Struthio camelus: one gene and its partners. The protein of the gene in region 2 interacts with the protein of the main gene of each other region in a pairwise test. Links are inferred from orthologs where the notes say so. Each region holds a gene or a part of one and is shown on either strand. Other genes may lie near its edges.

Region 1 (6,831 bases), on a different chromosome or scaffold from region 2:
TTCTGGCATTTTTGGTAGGTGATACTCTTACAAAAGTTTAGGGATAACTTATATTCTGTCATACCAATCCTAATATTGCTCTTCTCCCTAATGTCTCTCTTCCCGAACAAAATCTCTAGTGCTTCCCGAAACTTATGCCCTGCGCACTGGAATTCTTTGGGTTTCCCAGGAGAACGCTATTCCACGGCAAAGTTGAAGGTTTTGGGAGAACATGTCAAGTTCAACAGAGCTGGTGGGTGTTCTGCCCCTCTCCTGTGTGTCCACTGGGAGCGTCTCGTCCCTGTCGCTATGGGAGAGTCTGGCCCTGCTGAGTGGGAACACTGGAACCAAACTCACTGGGTTCCCAGCCTCCCCAACACTTGCACAAGGAAAGGGTCAAATTGAACTAGCGTATTCTCCCTCATTCTCTTCAGTACACAGCATGTTCTTCGTCCCATGTTTCGTTTTCTTTTTTTCAGAGTAGCCTCTTTTCTTATGAATAGCAACAGGATTTGCAGCCATGGACGAACGCAGCCGCAGTGTGGATGGAGGACTGCCCAACAGCACAGCCACGCTCCATTCATGTGACAGAGTGCACGCTGAATGAAAGGACATCTCAGCCTTTGTGTAAGGATTCAGTGGCCAGAGGGGATGGGGAAAGGGATGACATGGAGCTCAGCTTTAACACGTGGACTTTGTCTTTGACTTTGTGTCGTATTTCTCTAGCATTAATCTCCCTTTCTGCACAATTGAGAGAAGTTACTTTTCAGAACCTCTACTCTGTAAATTATTTTGAAGTACAGAGATGAAAAGTGCTATGAATTTCATCAGAATAATAACTTTGAGAGCTGAAATAAGGAATTGTTGCTGATGAAATTCAGCCTCACAAGTTTGCAATCTTTCATATGCTTTTCTGTTGATTACTTTGCATTAGTTAAAAGCTGTCTCACACTTATCCCTACAAATATGTAAGGACTTTCAAGGTTTGGGATTTTTTGGTTTGTATTTTGTGAAAAAGGACCATTTTTAGCTTTTTGGTTAGCCCAGAACTTTAGAATACTTTATTATGCACCCACCTAATTGCAGTTTTTGAATTGGGAAATCCCTGTTAGAGTCTCAGTGTGTTAAGAAGTTAATCTTCTAAAGCTTGATGTTGCTTTTCATGTATGTCTGAAGATATTTTAGAGGAAGGGAAAAATGAAATCTGTCCCATTAGAACAGAATACTCTTGAAAAGGCGGTATGATGGACAAGGAGAACTTCATGCCTTGCTGACACATTGGAGTAACTTAACGAGTACCTCTCCCCAGCATCTCAACAGGAAGCAGCAGGGCTAACTTGCTACAGGTCTGTGCAATGTGCATCGCTTTAAAGTCTACAATGGGGATTGTTGCTTCTTCTGTGATTCTGTCAATCCCTGTTAGATACCAGCAAAAACAGTGTCAGAAATTAGCCCGAGCTGTGCATTCAGACCTAAGCAACCTTGCCTGTGGGAGAAAATTAGAAGAAACTTTTCATTCAAGGATTTTGATGTTGTACAAAAATTAAATGCACTCTTATCTCCCCTAAAAGAATGAAACAGAACCATTAAGTACGTGGGTAAGCAGAAGACTAGATAGTTTAATAATTGAAATATGGCCCTCTGGAGGTTGATGTGCTAGAATGAAGGTCAGACAGATGCAGGACCCCTTTCTCATTCTACCTGAAGCTGCAGAGCTTAAGAGGGAGCATTGCTATCAGCACTAAATGCTCTGAAAGTTGCCTCTCCAACTAGCGTTAAGCATCTGGGATGCAGGGAACATGCAGAAGCACCTGTTGAAACAGTAAAGGAAACACAATTCTAAGTGCACCCTGCCATCCCACCCTCCATGCAATGTCTCCTGAGGAATTCTGTCTTATGCAGAGAGAAAATCTTTTCTGCCCTGCTGTGTCAGCTCCTTTCCCCTTCCCTCCCTCCCCTAGAGCTTAATCACCTCTCAAAGACCAAATTTAACCCTGAATGACTTACCTAGTATCTCAAAGCAAGCCAGTGACTGAGCTGAAAATAAACCCTGTAGACCTGGTGACTTCCATTTAAATGCTTGCTCTAAGTATCAGATCACAGCCCAAGCCTTGACTAAGGCTGCATCCTTTACAGAGCTTCTGATTTGGGGTTGCATAAGTGACAGAAATATAGGAGGCACCAAAAACACAGTCTGTAAGTTTCCCAATATAAATATCCAGAAATGTTATTTTACACAGAAAATAGCATTGCCAGTGCCAGAGAAGCCCTATGATTCATTGCCATCTTCCACTAAATTTAATTCAAGGTATTGTGGGCATGGACAATTACTTCAAAGTCAATTCTCCAAGCCATTCATCTTTCTTTTCAGTGCACTCGCTGCTTGTCATTTTCTCTTGCCATTCCTATACCTCCACTGCGCCTGATGGAAGTTGTCTGTGGTTTGTAATGCAAACCAAATGTTCCTTCTCTTTTTCTTTTTTTTTTCCTCAAGCTTTATTTTTCCAGCTTTAAGTTTAAAAAGCCCTAACTCAATCTGTCCTCTGCAAACAAAATACATAATTTGAGCTGTGCCCATTTGGTTCAGATTTTTGGTTGTATATTAAACCGAGCATTTACAAGATATAAATAATTTGGTGTAGCTCCCAGATTGAATGGTAGTGCTCTGCTGTTAAACACTCAGTGGGAGAGTTAGATCTGTGCTTTGCTAGCAAGAACAAGATGAGTTTTATATTACTAAGTGCTAACAGCATGATATCTTGCATCCCCTTTTAATCTAGATCTTGTGATCTTTGTCAGATTCAGTCCTGAGCAATACTATTACACTGAACTATTGCAGATGTCTAGGATTTCCAGGCAATAGGAAGAACTAGAGATCTGGAAGTTTTCTAACAAAGAGAAAGGCACTTTAGGAGAGTTGGATTTACTATTGAAAAAAAAAAACCCTATACTTATTGCAGAATAAAAATTCAAAAGGAGGAACTTACAACAGCGAGGCAGGCAAACCTGACTTCTGCAGAAGGCTGTTCCTCTTCATAGGCCTGGCAAAAAAAGACAGAGTGAATAATTGAAAACACACCCTCATGATATCACGTGACTCAGTTTCAGTAATTCTGCTCAGCACATTGGAACGGAGCTATTGTTTCCTAATTGAAGAAAATGTCAGCAAGGATAGATAAACAAAAGCAATGGGATGCAGTATTGGGGGAACTGTTTCCAGCAAGCTTCCCGCTACCCAAGGAAGAAAAGACCATTTAAGGAGTCTGTGTCATTTGTTTCTACCCATCACACTCTGGTCCTAGGATTGATGGGGTTCAGGCATGTTAGGCTTACTGTGAGAGGGAGGAAAATCGATGCTAATCAAGTGCAGGATTTCCTGCTGGAGGCCGAGACGAGACGGCCAGCATGTTTCTCATAATTTTCAGCAGATATTTTAAGCATTAAGCTAGTAAGAATTTCATAGGCTACTTCTGCTCCGGGAGCAAAAAACAATAGGAGCCACTTTTGAATGCCAAGCCCTTGTATTGTTCACCTTGAAATGACATGGTCTCTTCAACCTACTAATTCTTGCACACTCGTCTCCTTATGGGCTAGATTGTAACTTGTGATCCAACGTGATCAAAGGCCCAGTAAATTGTTACGCTTTCTGTGGAGCATCCCAGGGAATGAGAACTATGCCTTGGATTCCCAGTTCCTTCTGTTATAGCTTTCTTTTTCTGCAAAGTAAAAGGTTCACAGTCCGATCTACTATTGTGGCAACTTCTCTCAGCCAGCACCGGTGAGCTGCATTGACCATTGCTGGTGGGAACAGTCAGCTGCCTTTCTACCACATCCCTAGGCATGCTCAGCTGGTTTTCATCTAATACACAGAGGCTGCTCTTTTCCTGCCTGTCAACCCCCAGCTCTGCTCACACACTGACAAGACACAATCTTGCTTCAGAAACCTACTTTCTCTCAGTGAATTTTTGTGACTGCTTTAAGTGTAAGGTAGGCACGAGATACATAGGGAGTTTGTAAATTAAAAAAAAAAAAGAAATCCCAAAACAAAAAGAATTGTCTCTGAAACAGTTAATGTTAGTTTTATTGAAATAGAGAGGCCTCTTTGGAATTTTCCCACAACCTATAAAACCTATACATTTCTGGAAAATGTAAATAGAAACCTGAATTTTACACCTGGCCCCATCTGGTCATGGAAATGGTCAACAAGAGAGTGCTTAGACACCTGCTACCCTCTCTGTGTTCTGTGGCTCTAAGATCCCAGTTTTACTGGTCTGTCACTAAATTCACAAAAGAGAGAAAGTATAAAATGGGTTTGAAATATTTTGCTGACACGGACTCATGTTTATTGGTCTCCTGTAACCTCTAGATATCTAAAAATGTAGGCTGTGAAGACAGGCGACTGCCACGTGAGAATTACAAGTGGGACAAAAAGCAAAACTGATGGGACAAAAAGCAAAACTCTCTCTGCTCTGCTCTGCACGTCATCTACAGTAGCAGTGACACCTTCTGTCCTTGATAATATAATTGTGGCTAATTTATATTTTAAGTGTTTAAAAAAAGATGAGAATTCAGTATTGCTTTCCCAACTAAGAAGTTTTCATGGTATCAGTTAACCAACGGACATCTAATGTAAAGGGGACAGTTTTAACCTGAGTTACTGGATGATAGTAAACATGGAGCATTACCCTACGATTTTAACTTCTCATTTTTGTAGAAGAACCATGCTTTGGCGCTGAGTAGTGAACACTGGGTATCAGGTAGCTTTCCTGGAAAGAAGGAGAATTAGGGAGTTGATTTTGTGTTTTCTGAAGCGGTTCATCACTGTATTTGAATAGAGAAGACAGCGGCCTGCTATATAAATTGGGATTTTATAGTGCTGGTTCTGTAAAATGAAATATCAATGAGAAAACGAAGCCACATATTGTTTACCACTTAACTGTCTTACACGGTAACACACACATGCTTTTGTTTAGCAATAGAGAACTCATTCACACAGAATCTTAACAGCCCCTGGGTTTTGATCCAAACTGATCGAGTTGGAAGCTCAAAAGCATTGGAAAGCTATTTTTTATTTCTTCCCATTGTCACATGTTATTGTGCTTCCTGACTATGGGCTAAATTCTGTAGTCCTTAAGCCTTTGGGAGTTTTGTTCATGCAGAATCTGGACTTCTGCCAAGGCCAGCAGCAGAAACATAAATATCACAAGGAGGGACTGTTTTTCATGATGTTTCACTCTAACCTTTTGCAGCTTTTTTCATCTCTGTACAGTAATTGTCAGTGCCCAGTGGTGAACAGAAAAGCGCATTTTTAGAAGCCATAAGGAAAAAGGAGAAAGAAAGAGAACCTCTGCTGTGCCTGCCATGTTGTAGTAATGGTATGCTTTGATATTGGATCTTGTGGTCAGTCTTCATTACTTAGCTCAAAGATATCATACCAGAAAAAAGGCAGTGAACATTGATCAGAGGCTGGAATTTTGTATGAAAAGATTGAAGTGATGTGGACTCTCCTTTACAGAAAGGAGTTGCCTTGACAGAGATTTATGAAATAATAGGCAATATAAGGAAAATCAGCTGTATTCCCTTACTGTCTTTTTGTGAAAGCAACAGGAAAAGAAGAATGTAGCAGAAAAAAAAGAGTCCAAACAAATAAAAGGAAATACAATCTGTAGCATAATTAATGCATGGAGCAAGAAGAGAGCAGAAATCATGAGCCCTTTGAAGTTAGCTATTTTGCCTTTGATTTCAGTGGGACACAGATTTCACCCCAAGGAGTGAGTAGATGAAAATAGTAGCCACAGTTAAAGGGAGTAACATGTTTAAGGGGCAGCAACTTGCTTCAGAATAAAAGTCAAACTTTACCATTTACAGGTAGGGTGGTACATCTGGCCTGGGATAGGTCATAGTTTCCCCTTAATGGAGACCCTTTTCTGACAAGTGGAGTTAGTCTATATTGGAGATGGGAAACGGACTTAAAGTAGTCCTTGGACTCATTTTTTTATGACTAATTTTTTTGCATGACTGAAAGCAGGATGAGTCTGGTACCATAGCAGATGCAGGAACGGATCCCTCTTTTCCCCCAAATTATTTTCCAAATCCAAAGTTTAGATTTTAGATATACAGGCTGTTCTGTACTAAATGTTTTGCCTGTTGCTGCTAGTGATAACCTTTCCCGAAAAAGGAGCATATAAACTTAAACACAACATTAGTACTGTGCAAAGCAAATCTAAGTAATGATGGAACTTAGCTCCAGTTTTGATCTCCACCCAACTTCAAATACTCCATGTGTTAATAAGAGAGAGAGTTTGAGATAGTCTCAATTTTGTCCTGTCCTTACATGGCTCAGCAAACCAATGAAGTAGTTGTGCCTTAAACACAGTGACAATTTTCACACGTTACCATATTCCAGACAACAAGTTACATTGCACAGGACAACCATCCCCTCGCTGCTGCTAAGCCAGGACTGAATTAGTCATCTGTGTCTTGGGTTTTACAGCTTTCACTCTGCCCTTCCATCCATCAAAACATAGCAACATAGGAACTGGCACACTGAGTCACAGTATAAACAATATCCTTAATTCAGTATCCTTCTCTAGCAATGGCCTATAGCTATTGCTTCAAAGGAATTGCCTTGCTAAAAAGCAATTAAGAGAGAACTCGCTTTCGGGAAGAGTTTCCTCCTAGCACCTTCTTGGTTAGAGTAGGCTGGCACTCTGAGGTTTTGTATGTGTTCCAAAGTTGTTGAGGCTTTTTACATTATGATTGGATAGCGCTGTTTTTAGCAGAAGCTGCAAACTGCCCATAACACGTAAGTATTGCATTATGTCAGATGAGGTAAATCTCGTTCTAATTCCT
Region 2 (7,254 bases):
CAAAGGAAACTGAGAAGATAAATATTTTCTTATATTTCAGTTAGAACTACTTTTAATAGTCTAACAACTGAAGGAAAAGAAAAAAGAAAAAATCGTATAGGAAAAAGTACTGATGTTGATAGTGCTTTGCAAGGTTAAATACATTTAGTTGCATATAAAGCATAGAATTATCTCACATTAAATATTGTGGTGTGAACTTTCCTTTGTCATTTTAAGTAAAGGTTAGAAATCTTTCAGGTATTCTCTTTGCTTACATTAATGACAAAACTGCCATTCCAAAAAGCACAGGATTAAGGATCACATTAGTATAATTTGTTAAGATAATGAAATAGTGTGTTTGTGAGCAGTGAACATCACCATTTTAACACTGGCAACTGCAAATTAGTTAGATCAAACAATAATACGGTCTGCTTTAGTGATCTTTCATCACTAAGTTTCATTCAATGTTTTTTGAACAATGATTTCAAAATTTTTAAAACTAGAACTAATGCATTGACCTTTAAATAGCTTATGCCATCTTAAAATATTTTTCTCTTATTCTGTTGTAAAGATTTCTTCAGCCACAGTGCAGGTTAAACAGAAAAATGTTGATACCTAATCTGCCATAAAATTCTCAAAGAAAACAGACAAAAAAAAATGACTGCATTCCTGATTTCCATCCACTTAGCAGTCTTACAGATTACCTGTATTTTATAAGACATAATGTTTTCAGAAGTATTCTTAGGTATGACTGACTTGGTAATATGGAAAACAGATTTTGTGGTTATTACTTCTGTGCCAGGCTGATAGCACGCACATGCTGATTAGCATTGTTCAATACAATGTCTATTCCCATAAAGTGATTAGCCCACTGTCTTGAAGTCATGTTCATACTACTTTGTTTTTCATTATTTTGAGTCACTATTTCTGGAAGTGAAAATTTTCTAACGTTTGCTGAATAAAACATTTCTGTGCTTAAATGTTAGAATGTAGCAGGAAAAGGTATTTCTGACCTAATGCTCCTTTATATTAAAAAGGAACACAAACCATAAAAATAACTTCCCCCTAATTTTACAGTAACTTCTCCGTGCACACACTTATGAGCTGCTTATCTACTGCATGCTAAGACAAACCTCCTGGTCTGTCTGTCTCTCCCTTCTTATGCAGGTCTAATCTGCAACTCTGCTCAATGCAGACACTGTACTGCACTGTGAATGGACAGCCAGGTATTTTATGAATGGAGCCGATCACGTGCTCCCAGCACCTCCCCGAGCTGATATTTCCCACATAACTGTGTCAACAAGCAGTGAACAGCATATTTTAATACAGCAGGTCCTCAAAAATCTTCATCCACAATCTGCTTGCTACGGTCCACTCTCACATACAAGAAACGAGCTTTACACACTTTGCAGGGCAGGTTTTATTGCAGGTCAGCGGTGATGACAGTAATTTTTTTTTTGGTTTTTATGAATGGAGATTGTGGTATGCAAATTAGAACGATTCACAAAAAAGAAAATATGGCGGCGGCTTCAGCTTCCAGCTCCACTGACACTGCAGCAATTCACCTTCCCACACAGCCCTCGGTGCACGCAGCCCCGCAGACCGCGGCGGAGCCTTCCGAGCGCCCTTTTACTCCAGAAGGATTTACCAGCATTTGCCTTCGATGATCAAAACCTCTTCGCTAGGAAGCTTTTATTAAGGTGTGAATGTTTTATTTTGAGAAATGCGTTAAAATGAAAAATCCGTTTTTTCCAACCAAGTAAAGGAGGCTTTTCTTCTCTTATCCTATCTATCTGCCCTTTATCAAGCTAGTGTTTATTAAAAAAATGAAAGACAAAGGACGCAATGGTCCTTTACCGTTACCAAGAGCTGTCTCGGCATTATGATCTGTCACATCATTCATAAAATAAGCTACAGCAAATACCTACATCGCAAATCGTTATGCCCAAGCTCAGAGACTGTAGTAATCAGCCTTAAACGCCTCCATGCACTTAAACTTTCTGAGAATAAAAAAGTTTCAAAATACTTTATATTTCTGTTTCTCAATGCCATAAAGAATTCCGATGTTTTCTGAAAAATATTCATCTCCTCCCACCCGAAATTTATTTTTAAGACAAACTAAACGCACAGAGATACACCCGCACGCATACACTTTCTCCTCTGGATTTCCTCCAAACCAGTCACATTAAAAGATATTAAAAGATCCTTGAACTGTCCCCTTCCTCTTTTAAAAAAAGAAGTCCCAAGTGCTCATTAAAAAAAAAAAAAAAAGGCTTTAGGGTAGGTTTAAGCTGTATTTACACTGACTGACTCATCCAATTAAAATTCAGGAGCAGTTTCCTGCAGGATGGAGCTCCCACACACTAGTTTCCATGTGAAATATCTACAAGCAAAGGATATTACCAGAGGTGGTATGTGCCGATATCTCTTCGGCTCTCCGAAATCCACCCCTCCCCCCTCCCCCTCCATTCAAGACACCAGCACTACCTGCGCCGTTTTGTACAACGTTTTAATTCAACCACGCTGCCCTGGACGGCGGCTCTCGGCCCCAATAAAACAAGCTCCCTCACAAAGAGAGCGCTCCTGGGCTTCCACACAGGCAAGCGCCAACGCGCAGCACACACAGATGCGTGCACACACGCGTGTCCCCCGGGTGCACACACGCAGGCACACTGCGGACGGCGGGGCCGCACGGACAGCACACACGCGAGACCGCGGCAGCGCGCGGAGGCCGCGGAGCACCGCTGCTTACTCGTTGTTAGAAGCCGCCGTCTCTTCGCTCATTTTTTCCTCACCGTGATGCGATGCGGGGACGGAGCAGCACCGACGCAGCCAGGGCGCAGCGAGAACTCACCAGAAACTTCACCATCGTTGAGCCCCCGGATCGGCCTCCCCGAGCGAGCACACGAGCAACGTCCTGCCGCGAGGGAAGGCAAGGGAAGGAAGCGGGGGAGCGAGCGAGCGAGCGTTATCCCAGAGGCACCAAATCCGGTTGTCCAGCGCCGGAGCGCTCTTCCCCGCCCGCCGGGAGCAGCGGCGGCGGCGGCGGCGGCCGGGGCGCAGCAGGCGGGCGCCTAGCGGGGAGCGGCGCGGCGGGGCCGGGGGAAGGCGCCCGGCCGTTGGGCGCTGCGCCGCCCGCGCCGCCCGCCGCCGCTCATCTCCCGCGGCCGCCGCCGCCCTGCGGCGCGCTCGGCCCCCGCGGCGGGCGGGCAGCGGGGGCAGCACGCAGTCCTCCGGGCAGGGCGCGGGGGCAGCGCGGGTCGCTCCTGCCCGCCGCCCTCCAGCGACGCCGGGCGCTGCAGCGGCAGAAGGCGCCGGTCCCACGGAGAAGGCTGGCGGCGGGGGGAGGGAGGCGTTTTAAACCAGGCTGGGGGCGGGGGGGGGGGGCTGAGGGGAGCGGGGATGCGTCACGGCTGTTTGTGTGAGGAGGGAAAAGGGGGGTGGGGGGAGGCAGGGAAGCGGCCGGGCCACGGGAGAAGCCCCCCCGGCGGCGGAGTTGGGGGAGGAGGGGGGAAGCGAGAGAAAGCCTGCGGGGAAGTTCAGCGGCAGCGCTCCCTCCCCGGCAACAACTCCTCTCGCGGCGGCGGCGGCGGCGGCAGTCTCGGCGCGGCCCCTCTCCGCCGCCTCCGCCTCCTCCTCCGCCTCCTCACAGGAAAACTGGGCGGAAGCGTTGACTTCAAGCTCCTTCCGCCGCCACAGCTTGAGCCAAAATAACCACGGGCGCGAGCGGAGCGGGGGGGAAGGAAGAGAGCGAGGAAGAAGGCGCTGCCCCGGGCGCGGCGCCGGCCGCCGAGCAGCCCCGCAGCCGCCTCCCCTCGCCGCCGGCCGCTGCGCTGCGCCCGAGTTTCCTGAAAGTAGTCCCGCCCCCCGGCCGCGGCTCACGCGCGCCCGAGGAGCCGCCGCCGCCGCCGCACACGCACGCACGCACGGCGGCGGCGCGGAGGGATACGCGCGGTCGGGCGCGGCGGCCGCCCTCCCTTCGTGCTCCGCCGCTGCGCGGCAAAGAGTTCGGCGGCGGCCGCTGCGGGGCGAGGGGCGGCGGCGGGAGGTCCGCGCCAGGCGCTGTGCAGCGCGGGGGGGCCGGGCCGGGCCGGACCCGCCTGCGGCTTTATGGGCGGTGAGCTGCGCTTCCGCGCGGCGCTGCGTGGGCGGCCCGCGCCGCGGGGCGTTTTGGGGGACAGGATCGCTGTCCCCCACCCGCCGCGGCCCCACGGCGGCAGAAACGCGGCGGCCGCAGAGGTCCAGGGGTGCCTCCGCGGGAAGCCCTAGGCTGGGCTGTCACTTTTTTCCACTTTTTTTTTCTTTTTTTGACCGAAGTGGATGTAACTCTTTAAGTACGTAGCAGCAGTAGCGCCAGAGCCTCTGCTGTTCACTGCTGGGAAGCGCCGGGGGGTTCATGAAACGGATCCCGGTGCCGTGTTTTCCGTAGCAAGTGTTCCTACCCAATTCTCTCAGATTTTCGTTAATATCACCACTTACCAGAAGCGCCCTGACCCAAGAAATACGGTCAGGTTGCTGCGGATCTTCCCTACTTTTGAATCAGGTCATTTAATGCTGCCGTGGAGGTGGCATCTCCGAGGATGTGCTGCTCGGTTCACCTGCTCGCTTGGGAAGAGAAGCTCGTTTGTGGCCCGTTGGCCAACGGTGTAACTCTGGAAGCCGTTTCGGTGGGCGATGGCGCAGGAGGATGGGTGAAACGCCGCCTCGGCTTCCCCGCCTGCAGCCGGCGCGCAGCGCGCTGCCACCGCCGTGGCTGCAGCTGGCCCAGGTGGGCAGGGAAATCAGTGAGCAGCCGCAGCGCGGCCCTCGTTCCCCTTTTCAGGAGTTTACACGGTAACATGCTACTTGATCCGATGGCAAAGTGGAGCAGTATTGCCAGCCCTGAGGACTCAAAAATCATGAGTCAGACCATGAAGTAAATTAGATTATAATACAGGATTATATTGTGGTTTTGTCCGTTGCTTGGATTTTGAGTTCCCCCTGCCTGGTCTTTGTATGTGTGCCTGTCAGCTGATACAGCCCATTGTCCCAACTTTATCGAGTAAAATATTGTGGTGCTACTGGAAGAGATATCACTTTCTCCCTAACGCACTTTCCTTCTTCCCAGCCTCCAATGTACCTCCTCACTTTTTCCTAGCTACTGTGCGAGAGCCCTCTCTGTCAGCTCTAATCCCATTTCCTTTTTTTTCTGCAGCTGCTGGATTTCTTCCCAACTCTTAAGGTATCATGGAGAAGGAGCAGAGATGGGCTGTTTTGTCTTCCTGTTTGAAAAGATGGGGCCAGCTCCCTTGGAGATAATAATGTGTGATTCCCACACTAATGTTGATTGGCTGCTTTTCCCAAGGAAGGGAGAGACTGGAGCATGCTGTCAATCAGGAGGAGTTTTGACCATTTTGAGAGTAGCTGGAGTGCCTCATGTCACCCTAGGCCAGACTGTGAAATTGCAGCATCTGTCTGAATGCACTGAATCAGGGCAGTATTGCGTTTATCAAGGGTATTTGTTTACAGAAATCTTCCTTTTTACACAAAGTTGAAAGTACAGTTTGTCTTTGGGACTTAACAGTGATGTCCAGAATTTTTTCCTGAAGACTTTTTCCTTTTCTTGATGATTGAAAACAGTAAGAAAATGTTGTAGTGAGGAAAGCTTGTACAGTGTCTTTTTTTTTTTTGTGAGTTAAACCATTTTAAACATAATCTATTTTTGTCTTATATAGCATGCAAGGAAGGGCATATTCTATTTATAGACAGTTTATGTTTATTGTAATATTCCTATGGATAGCAATTCCACATGTCTATAAAAGGATTCTAACGAGCACACTGGAACAATCATAGTAAACTGCTATTGCGCTTTCTCTAACATGTCTCAAGTAGCACACATCTCAAACATGCAATAATAATACTTGTTTCCTTATCTGGGAGGCTTTTGGAGGAATAATTAGTAATTGTTTTGTAAGAACATTTTTCTAAAATGGTACTCAAAAATGGATCTGTTATTCATTGCATGTTTTCATCTAAATGCTAAAAATACATTAGAAACCCAGTTTTGTACAATACTTTTACAATTCAACTGACATGAATCAAAATGAGTATCTGAATCACAGGATCCACAAAAAGTGTTTTGAAACTTAAGTTGTAGGGACATAATATTATTCTACTGAGCAATTAGTTTTTTTTAGGGTACTTTCTTGTTAATCTAATCCTTATTTTCTACTGGCTTCAAAGTGGAAATATTTAACTTTCTGTAAGCTAATAATTTATTAAGATCATTTGATTAATACGATCCAGTGCAAGAATGCTCAGGAGCTAGCTCAGTGTGTCAGATGGTGGTACTGCTCTATGCAGAAGCAACTCAAGCGTGCCTGAAGGTGCCAGGGAAGAGCATTAATCTGATTGGGTTTTTTTGATTCCTTAAATGTATTTATTGTAAAAATGTCTTTTTACATGTGAATAACATGAACCGTTTTGTAGTATACCACAAGTAGGGAAGGCTTCAAATAATCTCACTCTTCTAACCCTAAGGTTTTCAAGAACATCTGTATTAAGAATAAAAATAAATAAATATCAGCTACTAAGTGATAATGTGAGATGCATCCTATATAGCTTTTACTTGACTACATGGAGGAGATAAGGGGAGAAAGACCCACTGCTTCTTCACCTGTGCCAGCTCTTCAGCTTCTGCACACAGTCGCATGCTGCAATATACGTAGCAGAGGTCTTGCAAGTAGTTTCTGTTCCTTTATCTGAATGTCATGAAGAGGGCAGAAAATCTGCCTTAGTCGGTGTCATGATTTTGAAATCCTGATAATTTCTTTTTTACCTCTGCCTAGGCTGAAAAAATTAAAGAGCGTAATCCTGGAATACCAGAGTTGGCTTTAGCCAAGCAGCAGGTGATTTGAGGGCCTTCCAATGTTCTTTTTGGAAGAAAAATAAGCAGTCAGGTGTTTTTAATGTAAATGGCTTATTTTCAAAGTAAACATGAGTCCTGCCTGTGCCAACAAGGCAGAAATGGACTAGGAACAAGTGACACCCTTCAGAAAGCACAGTCAAATGATCACTTCATGTCCCAAGCATCAAATGCTTCGGGGTCTTGTCTTTCTTCACAAGTTACACAAACTCAACTAGATTTAAGTACATTCTTAGGGCTTTTTTACTTTCTGTCATTGTGGACTTTACAGTTGAAATGTCCTGAGCTGAGTGCTGGATGACCTGTATATGATCTGGGAAAAATAACTGAAAACGTGAAAGCTTCTGGTACTTTTCACCAGAATGCACACG
Region 3 (7,971 bases), on a different chromosome or scaffold from region 2:
TCATTTCAAAAAAAAGAAAAAAGGTCATTTTTTAAAAATTTATATGACTTTTTAAAAGGATGGCCTTTTTAAGATTCCCTTGATATATCTGCTGTGATTGCCGACTTCAAACAATGACCCGGATACTACTACTTTTTTAAAGACTACATTAGTGTTTTAAGAAAGCAAGCTATGTGTTTGCCTCATATTATGGTATTTTGATCTGAAAACCAGATGAGGTATCACTCTATGTATATATGTTGCTATAAATTATTTTCATGGTTTGTATTTTCATGTTTATAGATTTGATCTAGAGTAAATACTCTTTCCTTTTTTCCTGCTGCAGAAAGAGTAATAAGTGAATTTGGAAAGATGTCAATAGGCTATGAGCTGTACAGTCTTATTAAGCCTAAGGATACAGTTTGATATCCCCATTAACCTGGGTTTTGTCTGAAGCAGTTTTCACTCTGATTGCCAACATGATGCCTACTGGTAGAAGTTTTAAGACAAAAATCATATATATTTGATTTACAGCTGTTATTAAATAGGTCAGTGTACCTTGAATGGTCCTTGGAAAGGCAAGCCTGTAAATAATGGAGTAAAAACACATCCTATAGTTTGGCTTGTGCAGCCTGCTTTTCCCTGCTTCTCTTAACAAGTGCCTTACTAAGAAGCCTGTGGCTGGGCTGAGTTGCAGCCAGCATCGGAAACTGGAACAGCTGGCTCTGGGTATTGGCTTTGCTCTCACCATTGTACTGGGTGATTTGATATTCTCCCCTTCTCAGTTTCACCTGAGCATTGATGGTGTGAGAAGGCATATCATTCCCGGGTATTATCTCTTGAGGTACTACAAACATGTGACCTGAGCTGTAAGGAAACCCCATAACGTATTGAGGTACTTTCAGAATTGCATGTTTAATGTGACCCATTGAAATGTCGTGAGAGAGCTTTTTTAGCATAAGGTATTAAACCCTTTTAAAAACAAATCTCAAAGTAGTATGGGTTATCAACATTTTGCAAATGACTGCTGTATGGTTTTTGGTGTGTTCCAGTGCCTGAAAACTTTTTAATTTCCTGATAACAGGCACAGAGAATAGAGCAGCTGAAAAACGGCTAATACGCTATAGCGATACTTGGGATGAAAAAGATAGTATTCATTTGTAGGTGAATTATTTGCAATTAGATAGGCTCACTTTTTTTTTTCCTCAAAGGTGAAGAAAGTGTATATGAACTAGATGATGGGTTCTGTTTTATTAAATCCAAGCATTTTTTCATAATATCCAGCACTTCATGTAAGAGCTTTTATAAGCGTCTGTCTTGTTGTTCCAAATGTCTTGTGCCGCTTTCAATATGCCTGGCCTAAGATGAGCTGACAGTTTAGGATTATCAGTGATGGAATGATACAAATTTATTTCCCTGCCAGCCCAGATGAGCCACGGCCCAGGCTATCTGAGTTCCTTCAGATAGATCTGTCGCGTGAGCATGGTTCCTAGTGAACAATTATCCCTGGGGTAAAAATAAGCAGCAAAACTAGCTCTTGCTTTTTCTTTGGTCTCAGCAAAAGATCATAATTTCTTAATGAGCATAAAAACAGGACAGCTCTTTTTCCTAGAGAATAGCATGCCTCATTTGCTATAAAGTATGTGGAGGGCAGGGGGGGGCCTGAAGAGTACAAGAAAAAGCTGGAACTGGTGTCACTCAGTAATGTCCTGCAATTGCAGAAGACCTGCAGGCTCCAGAGAGACAACCTAGCGCCTTTTGCAAATATTGTGTTGATGTGGGGGAAAGACAGGTCTACTGGAGAAATGGAACCTGTTTATAGTCACTAAAAGTAATAAAAACCATTTTTTTTTGGTGTTGTGACTTAAGATGAGAGTATACAAAATATGTAAAAGTTTCATATTTGAATGTCCTCAGGTTCTCTAAATGTATATGAGATACCAAAGTGTGGTTACAACCCCATTCCCCCATATATGTGTAAAATATTTATATAGTTTCAATAAAACTTGAACATGGAGAGGAATATACCTTTGTTTGTTAGTTCTGTGCTTTATTGTGAAATCTAAAATAAAATTAGGCCATGTCAGAGTAACCTGGTGTTTACAGCTTTTGGCTTGTGGGAGAAAGTTCCCTGTGCTCCATACACTGTCTTGCACTTGTGTGCTCTCCACTTGACCTTTCTTCTTCTGGGGAATGGGGTTTGCAGTCTAGGGAACTGAAAAAAAAAATTTATTTTTTCTGGGTCAAGGAGAAATTCTTGGGAGCCCCTTTAGATTCAAAGAAGAAACACTCCAGAGCTGTAATGTCGCTGGGTGCTGTTGGATAGCTGGGATGGGAGAGGAGCTACCCCTCCACCTCTCCTGGGCATGCTGGTACATACCCCTTGCTCCAGGTAGCAGCCTGGAAAGCTTGTTGCCTGTTGTTTGGGGTTAAAATGACCTTGTTCTCTGTGGCAAAGAGGTGGCTGAAGCTGTGATCTTTTCTAGGACGCCAGGAGCCATAAATTGGTATGTATGAGGGCCACCTCATGCCTGCAGTCCCCCACAAGCCTCTCCTGACCAATGGCAGAGGCTGGGTCCAGCGAAGCGCAGGGGCAGCTCCTGCCTGCCGGGGCATACTGTGGGCTGCCGGGACACAGGCTGAAGATGCCTATGGGAGCTGGCAGGGTGAGCCTGGCAAGTAGCATAAAAAAACATGTAATAACAGCCGCTCCCGTGCAGGGACCTCACTAACCCATAGGAGATACCAGAGGAAATGCAAGTGCGGCCCCTTGTTGGATGTGAGAGGTGCCTGAGGGAAGCTGCAGACTCCATCCTGTGACGGAGGGACAGGTTAAATACCGTTTGTGGCACCTGAGCCATCCCTCGCGCCACGAGCGCCAGCAGCAGAGTTGCGCAGCACCCTCCAATCCCCGGTGAGGTGCTGCTGCTTGCCCAAACTGGCTCAGTTCTGTGGGGCCTGCCTGGACCGCTGTCTTCCCCCAGCACTTGCACAACCTCCCTGCATCTGTTTCCCTCCCCGAGGGTGCCAGCTGTGGGGCTGGGCACCCTGGGTGCATCCATGCGCAGCGTTGGGGGGGCCCGGCCCCCTACCTGAGTGTCTGCTCCTCGGCTGTCGCGGCCCTGGTGGGGCCTTCTCGAGCCAAGAGGATCCCGCCTCCCGAAATCCAAAACTGCCTTTGTAGCTCCCACTGTTTTCATTCAAGCAGAGAAATTTGGGCCTTAGCAAAGGTGATGCTGATGAGCACCAGCCACAAGCACTAAATAAAACCTGAGGGCTCTGCGCCCAGCCCTGTCCTCTGCTCAGCTGCCTGCCGCATGCAAGGACCGTGGCGCTCAGAGGGGCATCAGCTGGTCCTGGTTCTTGCTGGGAAAAAGAAGAAAGTAGGTGAAGACAGGGCAATTAGCAAGCTTTTGATAAACTATTCTTGACAGCTCCTAGTTTATATTGCTGGAACGGTAAGATTTGTTATAGGCAGTTAGGATGTCCGGTGTGTGGCAGCACACCTCAAACTGCAGCTATACCCTGGCAGCTGACAGTGCACAAATCTAATCCCGCTGCGTTTTTCTTCCTCGCCTCTGACTGTTATTAAACCGCCTTCCTGGCCCTCCCCAGCATCCCACTGCTGTCAGCAGAGCTTCTCTGTGCTGAGCGGCTGAACGGGGCTGGTTTTCCTCCTGGTGGAGCCCTCGAGTCATCAAATCCTCATGTCGCAGCCAGCAGGTTCTCCAGAGCTTCTGGGAGAGACACAGTCACCCAACAGTCATATGTTAGTATTAGAAGTAGCTCAGCATGCGTTTGCCGGGAGGATGTCTGTGTGACTGGGAGGGCTGATATCTGCACTAAGCCATGCAGAGGTAGACACATGCATGTATTTATGCATATATAAGAAAAAAATATAAATATATACAATCATAGAAGTCCGGTACACACTTATAAAAGAAGACTTGAGGAGAGAAGACTACAAATGCCAGCTTTTATCAAACCCTCTCCCTGCAATGGAAGGGTGACATGATCAGCTCAATATCGCTGGAAGAAGCCCTGTTTCTGGTCTGCCGGGAGCCCCCGCAAGCTGCTCTGAGCCCCCGCACCTTGTCCCAGCCCAGGAGCCTAGGTTGCCTGCGCCGGGGCGGGGGTCAGGGCTCTGGCAGCAGATTGTGCTGCTAACCAAAATCCTAAGGTAAGATTTTTCAACACAGGCAAATCCTGGGAATGGCTCCGTTTGTCCTGTATAGAGTGCGTGTAGCTGTTTCCGAGAGCAGCAGCTTCAGGCTTTGGGTGGTGGAGAGAAAGCAAGTCCCAGTTCAGCTTTCTCACGTGCGCGTGGAGAGGCAGCTCTGTTGGGTCCTGCAGCTGTAGAGGGGCTATCAAAAACTAAAGAAAAGTCCATGGCCAGCTCAGTTTGCAGGACATGTTTGCACAGCTGCTGCAGAGACAGAGTCAGGAATTCCCTGTTGCAGTTTTGACCTTTCTAATGGACTAAAAGAGGATCTGTGAGTGACAGGCTCAGGATCCATATGACAAGCAGCAGTGCGGAAGGGAAAGCAGGAGCAAATTCCACTGCTGCTTGTGAAGCTTGGCTGTCCGGGGGCTCATTCACTGCAGATCCTTACTCCTCTCAAATCTGCTTCAGCAGCTCACCCGGGGTTGTATCCCCCAAAGGATCTGCTGTTTCTTTGCATGTACCATTCATCATGACATTGGCTCTAGAAGAGCTGCTGGTGAATTCACATGCACAAATCTTTATTGTCAGGCTCTTTTTTTTGCTGTACCCTATAGTTCGGTTAATGTTACTCTGCAAATGGCCCTGGCTAGCTGCTCTAATGGCAGTACTGTGTTCGATAGCGCTGAGGACGGCCCATGCCATGGAGGTGGACGCTGCACAGGCAGCTCCAGCTTTCTGAAGGGTGCAGTGCAACTTCTGTAAGTGGCTGCCTCAGGCTCTTAGTGAGAGAGGAAAGCAGCTGCAGGGCGCTGCGCGGAGCAGCTCATCATGGAGGCAGAGGAAGCGACCACAGTCCTGCCACGGCAGATGGCCGCCCTTGCACCCTGTGCGCCGGCGATGCAGGGTGCTTGGTATTGCAACAGACAGCATGGGATCCTTTCACGAGCGCTGCAGAGGCGTGAGGAGGTAATCACCAATACTGAGATTAGCAGATTAATGGAAAGAAGGTATTTTCAATGCTTCTGGGGTTTCACAACTGGGGACCAGCTCTTGCTCCTGTCCCTCTGGTGCCCAATGAATGTCAAAAAAAGTCTTTGCTGTGCACAGCGCTAATTCCTAGATGGGTTGTTACGTGACCTGGTCAAAACCTCTTCCTAAAAGCCCTTCCTAAATGCCATGCAACACCTCCTGCTCCATGGCCACACAGAGAAGGAAGCGGCTGGGATGTAGCCAGGAGGTCTGGGCGGCTGCTTTTCAGTCTGCTCTGTGTGACTGTTGGTTTAGTGATACAGTGACCGTTCAGCTGTGGCTCATGCTGACGTCCTGCCTTGCTTGGACTCAGCTCCTGATAAGCTGCCTTCCAGGAAGCCTTGCCTTGAAGCACACAGGAAACGGTGTCAGATACAAGATCTGCAGTGCAGCAACCGCGGGCAGATGCTGGCAAGCCACACGTGTGCTAGTCCCAGCCTGGGCTGGAGCAGCCTGCACACTGATGTGGCTGGAGCAGTTTCAGGGGCTTTTCCTCTGCCAGTTATAACCAACAAGGTCCTATCTCAGAGTCTCCATAAATTGTTCGTTTTAGAGAGGAAGCTTCCAAAATCAGACTGCAGACTCTGGGCAAACAGCAGAATAGTTGATGTGATTTTTTTTTTTTCTCGGCAGTTGGCAGAGCCAGGAAGAGTGTTAAGAACAAGTCTTAGTGTGCAAATAGTTTTTAATCATTTGATGAAAGCCTCTGGCACCGCAGGCTAAAATTCAGAGCTGCATGAAAACTTTGGCTGCCCAAGAAAGTTTCTTAGCACAGCTCCAAATTTTGTTCTGCCAACCCCTTCCCTGCAGTGCAGTGTTGAACAAAGATGCATTTCAAAATAGATCAAATTCAAGTTATTTTACAAGGAAATGAAAGATGTGTTAACCAGTGACCTTAAAATGCAGGAAGTTGTTTAATCTCTGCATTTCATAGGGGGCTCTTTGGGTTTGCTACTAAACAGCCTGCACAGCACCTGTTATGTGCTCATGGTGGTAACCTGTGCTGGCCTGTGCCTGGGGGATTTTCAGAGTTTGGACCGTTTGACTACTCCTATAGTCAGTTTTGAACAATTAATTCAATGAAGACTGAGGTTATGTCTGCTGTCTCCTGGAAGACAAGTACCATCAAAGAAGCGAAACTTCTAGTTCTTCATTAATTCACTTTCTTTGGTAGCATTTTGGATGATTGATGGGATTGATGGAAAGGTGTTATGGGCTTCGGTTGACTCAGGACATGAGTACGGAGTTAACTGAGGTCCCGCTCCATGCCAGAGCAAAGTGTGTCTTGGTGAGAGGCGTGGAGGGTCTAGAGTGGGTGCACCTGCCTGCGGGGACATCCCAACACAGAAGTCTTGTGCCTTTCTCCAGGAAAGGTGCTGCGGCTGGCTGAGTAATGGCAGTCTGCAGCACGGCTGAGCTGCAACGTACAAAACACCAGGCAGATCTGTGTCGCCCTGCCTGAGCTGGGGCTCTCCGACAAAATACTCTGAGAACATCTCCTGGGGCTCTACAACATCCCTGGCTCTTCTGAGTCCCAAGCTCACAAGCAGGCAAGGCCCAGGGAAAGGCCAGGTGCTCCTGAGCAGCGGGGAAATGCCTATGAGTAGGATGAGTCTGAAAGCCAAAGATGCGTGGGAGCATCTGGCAGTGGGAGCAGCAGGCAGGCAGTTCAGCCTGTTGACTTGACGCTGGCAATTGTGTGACAAAAAATGCTCATCACACACAGACTTGGGCAGTCGTTCGTGTCCTGCGCTTGCTTTCCCAATGGCACCATCACCCTGACTCTGAGGGACTCAGCCTGATGGTGGATAGCATAAACATTGCGCAGCCAACAGAGGCAGCGAACAGAGGCAGCAGTTTGCGCAGCAGTGTCTGGGCTCTGCCTGGGCCTTTTGTGGGCCTTGTTGGAAGTTGTGGAGACTTTCTGGGGACCCCCAAGGAACTAGACGGTGCTTGCTGCTAGCAGGAAGGGAGAGCTGGGCAAGGACTCCTGCAGGGGACCTTGACTTAACTTCTCCTGGGAAGCTCTAGCCAGGTGGGGCTGCTGCTAACGAGCTCTCTGGGCTGCCCTGGTCAGAGGAAGGTTTTGTTTCAGGTGGCTCCTGATTGGGTGGGTCGAGCACCCTTGTGAGTCACTGCTAGGCAGAGGCCTATATAAGAGCCAGGCCTAGAGCACAGCTCCCAGAGTGCAGCCAACAGAGGCAGTGGACAGATGCAGCAGTTTGTGCAGAAGGGTGCCAGAAGGCAAAGGTGGCACCTCTCCGTTTTGCACAGTGGTGTGTCCTTCCCCGGGGCATGGTCATGACACGCCGCAGAGCACATTCCCCAGTGGCTGCTGGAGGTGCTGCATCGGCTGTGTCTGAGGCTTCAACCCAGACAGACCCTCAGACAGCAGATGCAGCCTTGCAGGTGTCAGGCTGCAGGGAGTGCCTGGGGCCCCTCCATGGGGCCTGGGCTGACAGTCAGCTCTGCTGTGTGAGGTGTGCTGTGGCTGACCAGTTGCATCACCAGATAAGGGAGTTACGGGAGGAGGTTGGTAGGCTGCGTAGCATCCGAGAGGATGAGCAGGAGATTGACAGGGCGTTCTCGGAGACTGTTCAGCTCCAGGAGTCCCCTGCCCCCACTGCAGCGGAGTTGTCAGAGGGCTCAGCACTGTGTGTAAAGGTGCATCATAACGCTGTTGAAGAGGGCTGGAAGCTGGTGACCTCTCGTAGAAGGAGAAAGGCTCTTGCTCCTCCTCAAGACTTACTCTTGAAGAACAAGCTTAGCGCCCTCCAAGCTGAGGAGCAGCTGGGCAT
Region 4 (7,181 bases), on a different chromosome or scaffold from region 2:
AGCCCCACATCACCAGTACCTCGATGATCTCCAGCATCTCCAACCGCGTGATCTTCCCATCTCCATCCAGGTCGTACATTTCGAAGGCCCAGTTGAGTTTCTGCTCAAAGGTCCCCCTGGAGGTGACAGACAGGGCACAGATGAACTCCCGGAAGTCAATGGTCCCGTCACCGTTCTTGTCGAAGGTGCGGAAAGCATGCTGGGCGAACTTAGAAGCGTCTCCGTAGGGGAAAAACTGCAGGGAGGAGAGAAGAGAGAGATCTAAACGGGGAGGGGAGCTCATCGTGGAGGATAGACATCACATCCTCAGGGCAGCAGTGCCCTGAAGCAGCCCGCTGGCCCAGGAGCTCAGCAATGCCATAACCACAGGGCTAGGGACTGGCTGCCATCCCTGGGAACTGCATTGGGACCACAGGCCCCGTCCCATGGCGAGGCCCACCTTGATGTAGAGCTGCTGGAACTCCTCCAGGTTGAGGATGCCAGTGGGACAGTCCTTCAGGAAGCCTTTGTACCACTGCTTCAGCTCCTGCTCGCTGAACTCTGTGCTCCTCACCAGGTCGTCCAGCATCTCCGGCGCCAGCTTACTGTTTTGTTTCCCCATCGCTGACTCTGGAAGAGGAAACGCACAGCTCCTTCATGCTGGGAACAGGGAAAGCTGGTGCTCCTCAGGCAGCGTGACACCTGCCAATCCCGTGTGCCTCATCTGCTGCAATGAGCCAATCCAGCCGGCTCGTTACATGGCTACCGTTGGTGAATGCTGGGACAGTGACTGCAGCACCAAGGCCAGGCTTGGTGCCATGACCCTTCCTGCTGGAGCAGGGCAGGGGCCCACCACTGTGGCCAGCAGTATGACCCTCAGTTCTCCTGTCACCTTGGCTGCCTCCTCTGTGCTGCAGCAGAAATGCTCAGAAAGAGACTGAGGACCCAGGAAAACTCATCACAGGCTTTACCAGCTCATGATGTTCAGCTGCCCTCCATGAGGCAGGACAAAGAAACAGTGACAAGCACCCCTGAGTCTTTGCTTGCCTGGCGAGGGCTGCGAGGGTGCCCAGGAGCACGGGTCCCCGCTGCTTGCATTAAAGGAGGTAGAAACCTCACCAGCACCATCTGACCTGCAGCACCCAGGCAGCCGCAGCGACACGGCCCAAGCCGAACGGAGGCGTTTGAGGGCATCAGCCAGCCCCGGGCAAGAACGGGTCTCTGCCACCACGCAGCCCCTCTGCGCAAGCCTCCCCGCAGCGCGGCGCGCCAGGGCCCTGCGAGGCAGCCGCTGCGTAGGCAGAGCGCGAATCTGCTCCGAATACGCTCCGTGCCTGCTCCCACACAGCCTTGGCTGCCGGCCGCTGCTCCGGCGCAGCGACAGATGGTGAGCCAAGAGGATCCTGCAGTTTCTCTCTCAATGAAGTTGAGTAGAAGTTCACCTGGAGACCAACCAAGCCACAACTCCGCTCCACATGTCCGGCTTCCCGGCCACAGGGACTTGCAGATTTTCCCCCCGCACAGCCCCTTGGGGTCCTTCTCTTCTCTGCATCGGGGGCACCGGGGCTGGGCACAAGCCTCCCTCCCCAGCGCCCCAGGGCTGCTCCCCGAGCTCACGTTCAGCCCCACTCTTAGCTAATCCCTCCAGCAGAGGCTGCTTCCTGCTCCACCATCCCACCAGCATCTGTCACCAGTCTGCTGCGGCGAGACTTAACCAACTGCCTTTTGGCAATCAGAGCCCCGGGAACTCGGAGACACCACAGAGAAGAGTGGCAAAAGCCTCCCCGCCGATCCCAGGGCACGCTTGTGGAGTTAAGCCCTACCGGCACCGCAGCCCTGCTCGGCGAGTGATCTGCAGGCACCCATTAATCCTTCCATGTCCTGAACAGTGCAAGGGGGGAGAGGTGTTTTACTCATCTTCCAAAGGGTGGGATTTTGTGGACAGCGGGGACAGTAATCCCTCCCCACCAGGTACCATGCTCATGTCTTCCTCTTCCTCCTGCATCTCCCTCCGGCCCCGCTGGACCACGACCACGTTGCCCTGCACAACGGCTAGCGAGAGGCAGCTTTCCCCAGAAGGGAACAGCAACAGGGACCTTTGCCACAAGCACCCCACCTAAAGGGCTCCCACCCTGTGAGGCCAGGGCACGAGAAGCTGCTTTGGTCCAAAGACCTCGATTCCTATTTCCAAGCAGGACCCAGAGCACAGAGCTGCCAAGCTGCAGGGCAGAGGGCCGGATCCTGCCCTCAGAGGTGATGAGGGGCAAGTCTTGGGGTGACAGCTGAAGTAGCAGCTGTGCCACAGCAGGGCCCTGAGGCAGGGGGCACAGAGAGGGGTGGCTATGGTTGCCCCCCACCCAGCTATCGTCCCTTGGCAGACAAAAGACCCAGAGAGGCACCTCCAGCATCCCCGTGAGCCAGCACTATACGGGAGGAGATGGGAAGGAGTGTGGGACCCCGGTCTTACGGGAAGGATGGGGCCGGGTTCAGCCGAGCCCGGACCAGGGGGGAAGCAGCCCCTGGGGCTGCAGGGCCAGCTCTGCCCACGCCGGGGGACGTGCACGGGGACAGCCCAGGGCACCGGGCTGAGCCCACTGGAACCGGCTCCCGGAGGCACCTGCCCCACGGCACCCCACACCGGGGAGGGTGGGGGGCCAAGACAGGACCCGTCTCAGCCCCGACGGCTGCCCTGCTCCCCAAGGACGCCCCGACGGGAGCACCGCTCCTGCGAGGACCGGCTCCCGGGGGCACCGGCTCCCAACCCCGACGGGAGCTTCCTCCCGGGGGCACCGACCTCATCCCTGACGGCAGCCCCACTCCCGTGGGGACAGGCTCCCGAAGGGACCGGCTCCAGCCCCGACGGCCGCCCCGCTCCCGGGCAGGACGGCGACGGCTCCCGGCCCCGACGGCCGCTTACCTGGAAGAGGGCGCGGGCGGGCGGAGGCGGCTCGGCGGGGCCCGGGCCGGGAAGCGGTGCCGGTGCCGGTGCCGGTGCCGGTGCCGGTGCCGGTGCCGGGAGGGGCCGCTCCCGTCCCCCCCGCCCTGCTCTGCGCCCCCCCCCCGCCCCGCTCCCGCCCCTCTTGTCACCGCGGGCGGCCCGCCCCTCCCGGCCACGGCACACCATTGGCTGGGAGCGCTGTCAATCAGCCGGGGGGCTCGGGGGGGCCCGTGGGAGCGGGGCTCGGTGGAGAATACTGGGGTGGGATACTGGGACGGGGATGCTGGGACGGGGATACTGCGGTGGGAATGATGGGGTGGGAATGCTGGGACTGGGATGCTGGGATTGGGATAGTGGGATGGGGATGCTGGGGTGGGGGATGCTGGGACTGGGATAGTGGGATGGGGATACTGGAGTGGGGATGCTGGGACTGAGACAGTGGGACAGGGATGCTGGGACTGAGATAATGGGAGAGGGATGCTGGGGTGGGATGCTGGGAGCAGGAACACGACGGGTTCAGGGATTTCGCTGCGCTGACTGTCCAGCGTAGACTACCCTCCCGCCAGCCCTGGCAAACTCTCCCGCTCTGTTCCCCAGCTCCTTCCCCTGCCCAGCACTTGGCTCCGTGCATCTCCCTGGCTGCAGGGCTGAGCTGCTTCGTAGTGCCTCCTCCTTCTCCTCGGCGCTCCCCTCGCTCTGCCCAGCTCTGGCTCCAGGCCCCGGCAGCGAGGCCCCAGATGATCCCAGATCACCCCAAACTCCCTTCCCCTGATGTGGTCCTAGGCTGCAGGAGCTGGGGGGGCTGCACAGCCTCCTCATGCCAAATATCTGAGCAAAAGGCCCCGGGGGCTGCCCCCACCTTGGGGCTAAGGGATGGGGCTTGCTGCTTCCTGCAAGGAGGAATCGCAGCTGAGATGCAGGGGGCCAAGGGAGAAGAAAACCACCCTGATTTCCAGAAGCAAATGCTATGCGTTTCCATGGCGACCGCGGCTGCTTTTCCCGGTGACCTTGGCCATCCCGCCGCGCTGCGGATTCCCAGCGCCGCCGAGCCGTTTGCCACCAGCCACATGGCAGCTGCTGCCGGCAGGCCGGGAAGGAAGGTCCCATGCAGCCGGGGCTGGGGCAGGCGCTGCCCGGCGGCACGGGGCCGCTGCGGTCCGGGGGCCTCACAAACCCTCCTGCCCTCTGGCAAACCCCAGGGCAGGGGCTTTTTGGGGGCTGCCGGCTGCTGCAAGGAGCTGCTCCTCAGCCCAGCCAGCTGCCCATCGCCTCCCCTCCGCCTGCCGGAGGAAGAAAGGACATTTTATTGGTATGTGCCTCCCTGCTAGCTGCAGGAATCTGCAGAAACTGCCCCGGCCAAAGCAGAGTGGGATGGTTTATAAAAAGACACAAATGTTTGCAGCCTTTTACACACAGTGCAGCTGCAGGAACCCACCACCGCCAGCCCCAAGACAGGGAGCTGGGACCCCCCCCTCTGCCAGACACAGCCTCCCAGGTCATCCAAACCCCTGCCCAGGGCTCCACAGGGCAGCCCCTCACCCCGGGGGTGATTTGGGGTCTCCCCAGCACTGGACGCCTGGCCTCAAAGCCTGTCCATGAGCCTCTCTGAGGGCTCAGAGGGAAGAGACCTCCCGCTCCGTGCTGGGCAATCCTCTGCCATTTATTCCGTGCTTAAGTAGAGAAGACATCAATTAGTGCCACTGCAAACTTGCCTCTCTCAGGATGCTCCGAGGGACTGAAAAATTAATGAGGGCTTAATTGAAGCAGAGCAGCAGCAGAGCCTGGCGAGGAGCAGGGCCCCACGCTGCCCTGGCGCCAGGTGCTGCCGTGCTGTAGCTGCCGCCGGGGGCTTTCCCTGGGCCAGCGTGGCCCAGGCTGGATGGGGGGGTGCTGGGCAGCAGCCCCCAGCCCCGCAGCCAGGCCCCGTGCACTTGCGGGCGGAGGTGATGCAGCCGCAACTTTGCTGCCTTCCCTGAGCTGCTGCGGTGTCCCCAGATGGGTCCCCTGGTTGCAGCATCGAACGACGTGATGTTACCGAAGCAAAACGCGGCGACGCTTCCCAGCTGCTTCCAGGCGGCAGCTGCAGCCGTGGGAGCCTTCGGCACAGGGTTTCCCAGTTTGGCAGGATGGGAAAGCCAACTCCGACGCCAGCACTGCTGGCAGGAGCAGCAAACACCACCCTGGCAGCAAAATCCTGGCCAGAGACAGTGCCCTCTGCTCGCTGGTGCTGTGCTGGGGACTGCATCCAGCGGGGGCCTGGCCTTTGCCACGGCCACAGAGTTACTGTCAGGAAGGTGCTTCTCTATCTCAGGGAGCAATGAATTAATAAAGTGAGTGAGTGTTTTAAGGCAAAACTGCATGGCCTTTGCCCCCGGTGCTCCATGAAGCAGCAGCCAGTGGGAGCCGACGAACGGCCCTGCAGGGACAGGGATTTGCAAGCACGATGCTGGCACGTTTCCTTACGTCTTTCAACAGGGCGGCACAGCAAAGCCGGGGATGGTCCCGTGCTGGAGGAGCAGGCTTGGGGCTGTGATGCTGAGCACCGCGTGCCCTCGGCCGCTCACCAAGGCCCTGCAGCTCCGTGGCAGCCCAGAGCTGGGGTGGGCGGCTTAACCTCTGCCTTCCCAGGGAGGCAGTTAACACTCTTATAAAGACCAAATTCCCCCTCCGTGTCAGCAGACATGACCCAGTAGCAGTAGATTTAAGGCAGGGCATCGCAAAGCCTGCCGAAACCCAATGCGCTCAGCGGGGCCGGCACAAGCTCCAGGGAGGAGTTTGAGAGCAGCACCTGCAGGCCCTGGACCTCGCTCGGTCACCCCGGCTGCCATGCAGCCAGCAGGGGCTGAGACCGTCACAGCTCAGCTCATGGAACCAGGTGCGTCCAAGGAGCCCAAGGGCAGCTGGAAGAGGCAGGGGAGCGCCAGGCCGAGCATGCGACGGGGGCACCCTGGGGCAAGGGCAGATGCCAGGCTCCGGTGTGCCCTGGGCCAGGCTGTCCCCGGGGGGCATCACCTTTGCAATCATCGCTGGAGCACGGAGCCGCTTTGCTGCCCGCTCCCGCTGCGGCATTGCTCCTGCTCCGTGCTCCCGGGGTGCAGAGCTGCCAGGGCCTTGCTGGGTTCCTAAAAAACAGCTTCTCCGGTGACGCTGCTTAATGCAAAGGGCTGCAGCTTCCCCCAGCGGCTACAGGCTGCACCAGCATGTCTCGGGGGGCTGTGCCCAGGCAGGGGGGCCGGGGACCCGGCAGCGCGGCTCCCCCAGCTCGGCCAGGAGCTCCCCAAAGGCGTGGGCCCCAGCCCGGGGCCCCAGTGCCAGGAAGCCCCCCTGTTTAAGGAACATGCCCCATATGAGCCGCCCGAGACTCCCTGTGGGAGCACTGCTTCGCTGCGGGGCCGCGCACGGGCGCTCCCGCCGCCGCCTTGCTGCATCGCCTTCGCGCGGCCAGGAAGCCATTGGCAGAGCCGGCAAAGGAGAGCGAGCCTGGTCTCTCCTCTCCCACCCCGGGGAAGGCGTTTGCACTAATTGCCAGCTATAAATAGCTCTTTGAGATGCTCAGAGCACCAGGAAACATTGAACCACTGCTGCTCGCCCCCAGCCTCCCTAGACAACCCTCCCCTTCGCGTTACGCCACCCAAGCACCCAGAGCCGTCCTTCGAGACACGGCTGGGAAAGGAGGTGGCGAGCTGGGAATGGGTGAGGGCGCTGGAGCCAGGCTGGCCCTCGGCGACAGCCCCAGCCCCGATGTGCCCTGGCCGTGCTGGGGGATCTGCGCTGGGCACGGGACGCGTGGCAGCACGTCTCGGGGAGCGTGTATCTGGAGGGGACCCAGGGTTTGGGGCTGAGCTGCAGCTTGCAGAATTTCAGATCGAAACCCAGCTTTCGCTCTTGCTTGCTTGCTTCCTACTTGGCCAGTTGCAGGGTCACTCAAGGGAGGGCAGCTGCAACCTAAAGCCACCCATGACCAGGACACTCACACACCTGGGAGCAGCCGATCTGGCAGCGCTCTGGACACAGGGGTTTCTCTTGGTCCTCTTCTGTTTGAACCCTGAGGTGTCACAACCCTGGTGGCTTGTTGCTGCAGGGATGGACAGACAGCAGGTCTGCAGAGAGCTAGAGAGGTAGAGAAGCATCTCCAGTCACCCCCGTGCTCCTCTTGGGAAGACCCACAGTGGGTTGTTGTCCCAGGGGGAAATGGCCCCAAGCAGCTGGGAGCTGAGTCCGGAGCGAGAGCTGGGAGGGGACCCCAGCCCAGACATGTCCCCAG

What was found.
Region 1: the proteins of SPRED1 (region 2) and IL16 interact in binary tests that used the Homo sapiens proteins (3 or more experiments, as listed by UniProt). The link is inferred for Struthio camelus from reciprocal best matches to the Homo sapiens genes SPRED1 and IL16.
Region 3: the proteins of SPRED1 (region 2) and NCALD interact in binary tests that used the Homo sapiens proteins (3 or more experiments, as listed by UniProt). The link is inferred for Struthio camelus from reciprocal best matches to the Homo sapiens genes SPRED1 and NCALD.
Region 4: the proteins of SPRED1 (region 2) and HPCAL4 interact in binary tests that used the Homo sapiens proteins (3 or more experiments, as listed by UniProt). The link is inferred for Struthio camelus from reciprocal best matches to the Homo sapiens genes SPRED1 and HPCAL4.

Annotation. Positions count from the first base shown.
Region 1 is NC_090953.1:10,891,379-10,898,209, reverse strand, and holds the start of IL16 (pro-interleukin-16), read right to left. Parts: upstream 3,021-6,831; 5' UTR 3,017-3,020; coding exon 2,967-3,016; intron 607-2,966; exon of another isoform or gene 1-606. UniProt on the Homo sapiens protein: Interleukin-16 stimulates a migratory response in CD4+ lymphocytes, monocytes, and eosinophils. Primes CD4+ T-cells for IL-2 and IL-15 responsiveness. Also induces T-lymphocyte expression of interleukin 2 receptor. Ligand for CD4.
Region 2 is NC_090946.1:48,961,464-48,968,717, forward strand, and holds the start of SPRED1 (sprouty-related, EVH1 domain-containing protein 1), read right to left. Parts: upstream 3,012-7,254; 5' UTR 2,764-3,011; coding exon 2,732-2,763; intron 1-2,731. UniProt on the Homo sapiens protein: Tyrosine kinase substrate that inhibits growth-factor-mediated activation of MAP kinase. Negatively regulates hematopoiesis of bone marrow.
Region 3 is NC_090943.1:145,636,410-145,644,380, forward strand, and holds the start of NCALD (neurocalcin-delta), read left to right. Parts: upstream 1-4,964; 5' UTR 4,965-5,110; intron 5,111-7,971. UniProt on the Homo sapiens protein: May be involved in the calcium-dependent regulation of rhodopsin phosphorylation. Binds three calcium ions.
Region 4 is NC_090964.1:8,065,683-8,072,863, reverse strand, and holds the start of HPCAL4 (hippocalcin-like protein 4), read right to left. Parts: upstream 3,002-7,181; 5' UTR 2,897-3,001; intron 610-2,896; 5' UTR 602-609; coding exon 440-601; intron 236-439; coding exon 20-235; intron 1-19. UniProt on the Homo sapiens protein: May be involved in the calcium-dependent regulation of rhodopsin phosphorylation.